2 linked regions of the Macaca fascicularis genome follow. The protein of the gene in region 2 purifies or fractionates together with the protein of the main gene of each other region. This does not show direct contact. Links are inferred from orthologs where the notes say so. Each region holds a gene or a part of one and is shown on either strand. Other genes may lie near its edges. The genes, in order: UBE2E2 and RNF25.

The links.
Region 1: the proteins of RNF25 (region 2) and UBE2E2 purify together in Homo sapiens (affinity purification with mass spectrometry; 3 studies listed by BioGRID and IntAct, counting the BioPlex papers as one, with this or other methods). This does not show direct contact. The link is inferred for Macaca fascicularis from reciprocal best matches to the Homo sapiens genes RNF25 and UBE2E2.

Annotation. Positions count from the first base shown.
Region 1 is NC_088376.1:25,157,458-25,161,273, reverse strand, and holds part of UBE2E2 (ubiquitin-conjugating enzyme E2 E2), read left to right. Parts: intron 1-2,628; 5' UTR 2,629-2,636; coding exon 2,637-2,812; intron 2,813-3,816.
Region 2 is NC_088386.1:114,599,253-114,603,610, reverse strand, and holds the start of RNF25 (E3 ubiquitin-protein ligase RNF25), read left to right. Parts: upstream 1-1,499; 5' UTR 1,500-1,531; coding exon 1,532-1,572; intron 1,573-4,358. Other genes in the region: STK36 (serine/threonine-protein kinase 36), read right to left, coding at 588-671. UniProt on the Homo sapiens protein: E3 ubiquitin-protein ligase that plays a key role in the RNF14-RNF25 translation quality control pathway, a pathway that takes place when a ribosome has stalled during translation, and which promotes ubiquitination and degradation of translation factors on stalled ribosomes.

The sequences.
Region 1 (3,816 bases), on a different chromosome or scaffold from region 2:
TCATGGAACAGATTGCTCCTGGTTTAAAATGTATAAAATGATTTCTCACTCATTTCACATTTCTTAAGGTATCGCTGGCAGCATTTTGCTGTATCTGAGCACCTTTCCCTGAGGATTGTTCTCGTTTTCACTGTCATGCGTGCTGCCCTAACTGATATGCCATTATGTACATACTTAGAAGGTTTTAAACTTCTGATATATTTTAACTGAAAGAGGTAAGGTGAAAAAAAATTAAATCCAAGAATGAGAATTTAGAGTAAAATAAAAATGAAAAAAAGCAAGAAATATGTTATGACTTTTAGAGCTAGATGTGAAACATACTGATAAAAAATTTCAGTATTCTATTAAGTGACTTTAGTGCTCATAAAAGATGTCACAGCTGTGGAGACTGGTGCTCTCCATTTACAGAATAGGTAGAAAAGTAGTCAGCTTTTCCATTAGTATGTTTCAGAGCTGTTGAGGCAGACCTGTTTTTGTGTGGCATGAGGAGCTGTTGGGGTTGAAGGGGTGCTGGTGGTGGTGTGTGTGGCGTGTCAGTGAAAGGATTCACTATTTTCTGTTGACTCTTTGCGGCTCTGTGCTTCGTGATGCCTCCATTCTTTTGCAGTGCTTTTTGGTTTGTCTTACAAAAATTTCAGTCTATTAAAGATCGGTGTTACAACATTGCTTTGGCTTGGAGCAGACTACAAGTTAAATCTTTAGTAATGATGAATTTTCATCAGTGTCAAATAGCTATCCATTTGGACTAAATTGTAGTAATTAAAAATTTTGCTTTATTTGAGGTATCTTTACCTATTCTTATTGATCATATCAGAAACAGTTTTATTTCAAGTCGTAATTTGAATAAGAATAATCAAAAGGATCCATTTCAAAAGGAGTTTGTTCAGTGTACCTCTAATTTTTAAAGGTATTTTTTTTGTTGTTAATGGTACTTGTTAAGTATAGGTATTTGTTTTTAAAGAGGTGTCTGAGAAGGTAGCTATACAGTGCTCAAAGTGATTATTAGGTGACAAAACTGTGGTGAGCACAAGACCTTTTAGAGTCTGGGCATGGGTTTTGTTGGTTCAGTTCTGGATTTGTCAGAACACTGTAGGCTAGTCAGCTCGTAAGGGATGTATTCGTAGTCATCAAACTCAGAAATTGATTATGGTAGAATGACAGTTGAGAAGAGATACTCCTCTTCTCTTACTGGAATTGTTTGTGTCTCCTGTCTAGATTATAACAGCTACCTAAATATCAAGCTATTGAGGAAATTGAGTTGGTAATCAGAGCTGCTTGGGGAGCCTGAACTCAGAGCAAAGGGAATTTGAATGCCTTGAGGGATATTTTAGCCAGACTGTGGGGAAAAGAAAAAAAAAATTCTTCAGTGTCTCGCCATCTCTTGTGAAATATGGTTGCTTTAGTATATAGCTGAATCAGTGCTGATGCCGTCGTATGGTTCAATTTTTATTTAGAATCATGCAGTCATGCAGGCCTCTGTGTTCTTCTGTTATCACAAAGGTTACTTAAAACAATTTACTAGTTTGGAGAATTTTAACCTTAGCCCAGCTCTGAGGATGTATTGATGGAATAGGGATTTGAAAGAATCCTCCCATTTTTCTGTTCCCACAACTATTTGTACTAACCTTCGTTTTTGTACTTAGCAAGTTGGCTAGTCCAGGTTTTTCACAGTTGTGGGACCAAAGGGTTTAGCACAGCACCTGGTAGAGAGTAGACCCTTAGTCATTTTTTTCTTATTTTTTGTAACAGCATTATTGATATGTGATTCACAGACTATAAAATTTACCGTTTAAAAATGTACAACTCTGTAGTTCTTAGAATATTTATTATTAGAATTGAGCAACATTATCATTATCTAATTTAAGAACATTTTTATCACCCCACAGGGAAGCATCCTACCCATTAGCAGTCAGTCTTCACTGCTCTCCCCTCACTCCCTGGCAACCACTTACCCATTTTATTTTATTATTATTATTATTTTGTTTTGAGACAGGGTCTCTCTCTGTCACTCAGGCTGGAATGCAGTGGTATCAATCATATTTTTATTTTTTGTAGAGATCGAGTCCTGCTATGTTGCCCAGGCTGGTCCTGCCTGGGCTTCCCAAAACATTGGGATTTACAGGCGTGAGATTTACTACTGAATTTGATGTTTATGAATTTGCCTATTCTGGACATTTTATCTAAATAGTCAGCTTGTGGTGCTTTGTGGCTGGCTTCTTTCACTTACAGAATGTTTCAAGGTTCATCCATTTTGTAGCACGTAGACACTGTATTTCATTCTTTTTTATGGCTAACAGTACATTATGTGAATATACTACTACATTTTGTTTATCCATTCATTCGTTAGTGGATATTTGAGTTGTTTCCAGTTTTGGTTATTATGAATAATGTTGCTGTGAACGTTTCATGTATAAATTTTGTATGTTTTTGTTTTACAATACATTTTGAATGGATGAAGGAAAAGTTTTAGCAAGTCCCAAAGCTGCATTGTTTTGTAAATGACCAATTTAATCCGTTTTATATTGAGATTTACTTGTTTTACTTTGAGATTCATTCTCTGTGTTCTGGAGGTAGCTTACTGTAGTCGTCCTCACAGCTGAGTAAATGATTTTTGATTCTTTAATCCAGGATCTAAAATGTCCACTGAGGCACAAAGAGTTGATGACAGTCCAAGCACTAGTGGAGGAAGTTCCGATGGAGATCAACGTGAAAGTGTTCAGCAAGAACCAGAAAGAGAACAAGTTCAGCCCAAGAAAAAGGAGGGAAAAATATCCAGCAAAACCGCTGCTAAATTGTCAACTAGTGCTAAAAGGTATCTCAGTTATTATAACCTTTTTATTTTTGGTATCAGTTTATCATCTTAAGTTCTGTTTTTCTCTTGCATTTAATCATTTTTTCCGTGATTGTCAGCCATGAACTTCGTGGATTTTTCTTTCCCTTTCAAGATGATCTCTTTTACATGGTTTTAGCCATAGGGAACTTCAGTATTTAAAGTCAGTTAAATGGCATGGCAGATTCATAAAATACATTTCCATAGTGTGTTTGTGTGTTTGTGTATTATTAGGGAAGCATATACAGGGCGTGCATGTAAAGTTGCAGTGGTTTCATTTATGGTTACTTGACCATAAATATTTTTTTTCTGTTCCGTAACACAAAATAGAGATTAGGAATCTTTTGAAGTGGTTATTGAGTGAGTGATAGTTTATTTTCCACTACTCCCAGTTGGTAGAGTCAGAAATGCTGACATTAGCGACAAGTGCATCTTGGTTTCATTACATTAGTCAGTGGATCCATCTTGATACAGATTTTTCTCTTTCTCTGGAGAATAGATGGATCTGGAAAGTAGGTATTTGAATGGTCTTCTTTTGGTACATCAATCTCTTAAAATGATTGGCATGTCAGTGGACTTAGAGGGAATCTGTTTTGATATTGTTACATTATAGAATATCTCTTGGAAAATAATTTGAAAGATAAAGTAGTGTCTTTTCTGATCCTGTGATTTTATGTTCTTGCTTTGTTTTCATATGTTTTATATTGCCCAAATAGGAAGTATAAATAAAAGCGATCTGTAACTTTTAGGCATAGTGGAATGCCTGAATGTTGAATTACAGCTTTATATGTTATTTTATGGTGTGGATTAAGGGGAACTCCTTTCTCAAAGATAAGAAACCATTATTATGTTCTAGTAGACCTTGTTTCCCTTTGGCTTAGTCAGTCTACAGGATTGGAAAGAACCTTCTCAGGCCCCTTGGTGAGAGATGTTGGAGGATGGTGAGTGGTTATTCCAAGGTACTAGAGTATTCAGTTTCCCTTTCC
Region 2 (4,358 bases):
TCTCCCGCTTCCATTTTCTCCATGGTACCCTGGCCGTATCCAGGCTTTCCCCACTCCTCATCCCAGGAGGAAACAGCATGGGCAAAACATCTCACCTTCTAGGAGAAGTGTTCTGATTTGACCAAAGCAGTCAAGATGAGATTTAGGGGAAAGGAAAGGAAAAAAAATTAAGAGGAAATAATAGAGTTCAAGTGGTTTACCTCTTACTACATGGTGTGCTAGAGACTAATAATAATAATATTTGTTGTTTACTAAGAGCCAGGCACTGTACTAACTGATTTAATGTGACAACATACTTAATCTCAAATGCCATCAATCAGTTGCTGTTCTTATCCCCATTCTAGAGATGAGGAAATTGAGACATAGAGAAGTTAAGTAATTTGTCCATAATTCTAGGGTTAGAAAGCGGTGGAGATGGAACTTATACCCAAATAATACAACTTCAGAGCTTATACTCCATAAGAAGTATGAGAGAGTCAATGCCTTAGGAATATAAACTGGTATACATACATCCCTTCTAGACCCATTTTCCACTGGAGTTGGGGGTACCAAATCCCACCCAAAAGGTATCCCTCTTTGTACAATACCTGAGCACTGTATTTTCTTCGACCCTTGTACACCCTCCCAAAAGAGCCTTCTCCAATCATCTCCAACACGTGGTACTTTTCCATGACAGAGGTTTCAGAATCTCTTAGAAGGAAAAAGGTAGAGACGGTGAAGAGCTATAGATCCAGGGACAATTCCACAACATCTGGGAGGCCTAGTTGGGGCATGGGAAAGGAAAAATGTTAGCCACCTTGCCTTTTCTCTTTTTCACAAAGACCAAGCCTCAAAAAACATGGGAGGGTAGAATGACGCAAAGGTGATGCGATCTTGGAACAAACACAGCATCTCTTTGTAGTTCCTCTCCACTTTCAGCCTCCTGTCCCCAACCCGGCCCCATGCCCACCTGACACCTGGTCCCCCTTCTCCCTCACCCAGCTTGGCCCACTCGACCCTGCTCTCTTAACCTAGCATCGCCCACCCAACCCTGCTCCTTCGAGTCTCCCCCAAGTTCCTGCCACTCCCAGATTCCTCAGCACCTGCTCTCAGACCCCCTGGCCCATGCGCTTCGCAAGCCAGGGTCCCTCTCTCATCCCCAGCCTAGGAGATCCAAGCTCCTCAGGCCCAGGGACGGATTCCCTGGCCTTTAGCCCCATATCTTCTGGCTGCCTGCATACGTTGCCTGACTTACAATTCTTCTCCACCCGCCCCTCGCGCCAGTCTGTTTTGGCTCCCTTTCTAACAATTTCACTCGCTAGAACTGGTGAGAAGTTCAGAGGACAAAGGCGCTCAGAGGTGTGGGAGGGACGGCGGACCACACATGGGCACTTCCTGGGACGCATCCGAACTGCCTCTGGGCCGTCAGGCCCGGCTAAGGACCCGGAGTCTGCGGTTGCCTAGAAACGACGCTAGCTGCCCACCCCTCTTAGTTTTCCGCCTCCGACTTCCCTAAGGGCATTTCCGGTTCCGGCTGCGGGCCGGTGAAGACATGGCGGCGTCTGCGTCTGCAGCTGCAGGGGAGGAGGACTGGTAACTTCGGGGGCATGGGCTTTGGCTGACAGTCTGGATCTAGTCCAGAGGCCTAGCAGCTGTCGCAGACGGTCCGTACGGCGGGCGTGTGGGGTGGAGCGAAGGATGAGGGATGGCAGAGATGCTGACATCTCCTCTGGGAGATCTTCTAGACTGGGGAACGGGAGGGTGGAGGGGCGCTGATCTGAGTGAGAAGAGACCGGGTCTGCGCCCGCCAGACCAGTTCAGGCCTCGCCTTATCCGGTTCGATCCCCTTTCCTCCAGCTTCACGCTATCCCTTTCTATGCTCCTCAAATGAATTTTCTCAGGGGCTTTGGGGGATGCCTGCCCGTCAGACCTCCCCATCTCCCTTTCGCCTCTCAGAACTAGTGCCCTCCGGTTCGGTACCCCTTTCTCCTTGGATCAGCGTTTTTCCGCCGACGCTTTCCTCAACCTTCTCTCTCCCACACAGCACTAGTGAGGACTATTGTCTGAATAAAGCTTTACACCTCACATAAAGTCCCTCTAGTCCTTCTCTCAAGCATTCTTAACTAAAGACTAGAACATGGAAGGACTCTGGGATTTGGAAGTAGGATCAATGTGGGTTAACTCCGCATTTTATTAGCTGTGTGATGCTGACCAGGCCATCTAGCTTCTGTGAGTCAGTGTCCTCAGCTGTAAAAACAAAGTGGGTGTGGTATTTACCTCAGAATAGTTGAGAGGATCACGATGGATTTGTAATATACTTAAGTCTGTTTTTTTGTTTTGTTTTGTTTTGTTTTGTTTTTTGAGACAGAGTCTCACTGTCGCCCACGCTGGAGTGCGGTGGTGCGATTATGGCTCACTGCAGCCTCAACCTCCCCAGGCTCAGGTGATCCTCTTGCCTCAGCCTTCCAAGTAGCTGAGGCTACAGGTCTGTGCCACCATGCCCAGCTAATTTTGTATTTTTTGTAGAGACAGAGTTTTGCCATGTTGGCCAGGCTGGTCTTGAACCCCTGGGTTCAAGTGATCCTCCCACCTCAGCCTCCCAAGGTGCTGGAATTACAGGCGTGAGCCACCACACCCGGCCTCCTTTTCATTAATAACTGAGGTGCAGGCACCTGGGAAGATTAGATGAGCCCCAAAGAAGTAAAGTGATTTGCCAAAAGGTGGAAAATTGCGACTAGAAATCCACATCTATCTGACTCCACACCTTAGATTCTTTATACTAGGACATTCTTCAATCCCCTCTCCCCCATTTTGTTGTCACCACCTTACCAGCATCCCATCCAGGACCCACATAACTAGGGTAGGCAAAGTATTGAAGGGCCACTTGACTGAGGCTACACCTCAGTGTTACATTGGTTCAGGGAGCCCTGCTAGTACTGGCCTTTATTAAGACTATCTAGACTACTGGTTTTCAAAGTGTTCAGGGAAACTTTTTCTTTTCTTTTTTTAAGAGACGGAGTCTTACTTTGTCACCCAGGCTGGAGTACAGTGGCAAGATCATGGCTCATTACAGACTCAACCTCCTGGGCTCCAGCGATTCTTCTGCCTCAGCCTCCCAAGTAGCTGGGACCACTGTGTCCAGCTAATTTTTTATTTTCTGTAGAGATAGTCTCGCTTTGTTGCCCAGGCTGGTCTCGAACTCCTGGCCTCAAGTGATCCTCCCACCTCAGCCTCCCAAAGTGCTGGGATAACTTATAGTTGACCTGTTCAGGGGAACTTTTAAGATTCAGGGGAGACACCTTGAGCCATGGAGAGAACAACAGTGAGTGCAGCAGCCTGTAGTGCTGTGAGACTCCCATCCCATGTCAGCCAAAACTACACTATTTTCTGTGAGGTGTAAAGCTTTGTATTTTATATTTTGAAGTTTCTGCCTAAGACTTAACAACAACTGACATAAGTCATGCTGGAGCAGCCTTACTCTTAGAATGAAGAGAGAGCAGTATGAGAAAGGAAAGTATGCATTTTTCCATGTATCACCTGGTAGAGCTGTAGACACAAACTGATCACTCAGCTTCAATTTCAATACAACTACTGTTTCTATGCTTAAGCATGTGTGTCCTCTGATTTACATCGGAACATGGATGCTAACCTCAACAGGCTGATGTAGATCAACCAGACAGCCAGGGTCATAAATACATCCAGAGTACTCTACTACCTCCCTCCTTCCCTCTTCCTTCTAAGGGAGAAGGTTATATACAGACGGGAAGAAAAAGAGGATGTAGACTAGCTACTATAGCCCAGATACTATTAGGTACTTTATATAAACAAATCACCTTTTATCCTCATAGTAACCCTAGAGAGTAGGTGTTATCATCTATATGTGATAGACAGGATAACTTAAGCTTACAGAGAGGTCACTTCCCAGATCGCATAGCTTGTAAGTGATTGGTACCTGTTACTAACTCCGAGGCTGCTGGCTTTTCCATTACAACACAGCCTTTACACCACCCTAGACCTGTTGTGTTGAGGTTGCTATCTCCTTTAAGAAGGCTTAGGGTGACTGGTGTTAAAAGTGTATGTAGACGGTAGCCAAGGCACTGGGATCCACACTGGACATTGATGTAGGGAAAGGCTGGAGTAATATTGGTAACGTTAATGCTAGTAAATGGGTGCCATACCTCTAGACCAGAAAGTCAGCCACTAAGGGGAATGAAACTTAAACAGGGAGTCAGGAAACCCGACTCTGGGCCCAGTTCTACCTATGTTAAGCCTTGGTTAGTCATTTTATTTTTCTGGAATCCACTTCTTCATCTCTTGGCAGAAATAATGCTTAAAATTCTGATTTTTGTGCCTCCTATTTGGCCAGTTGAAAACTTAAG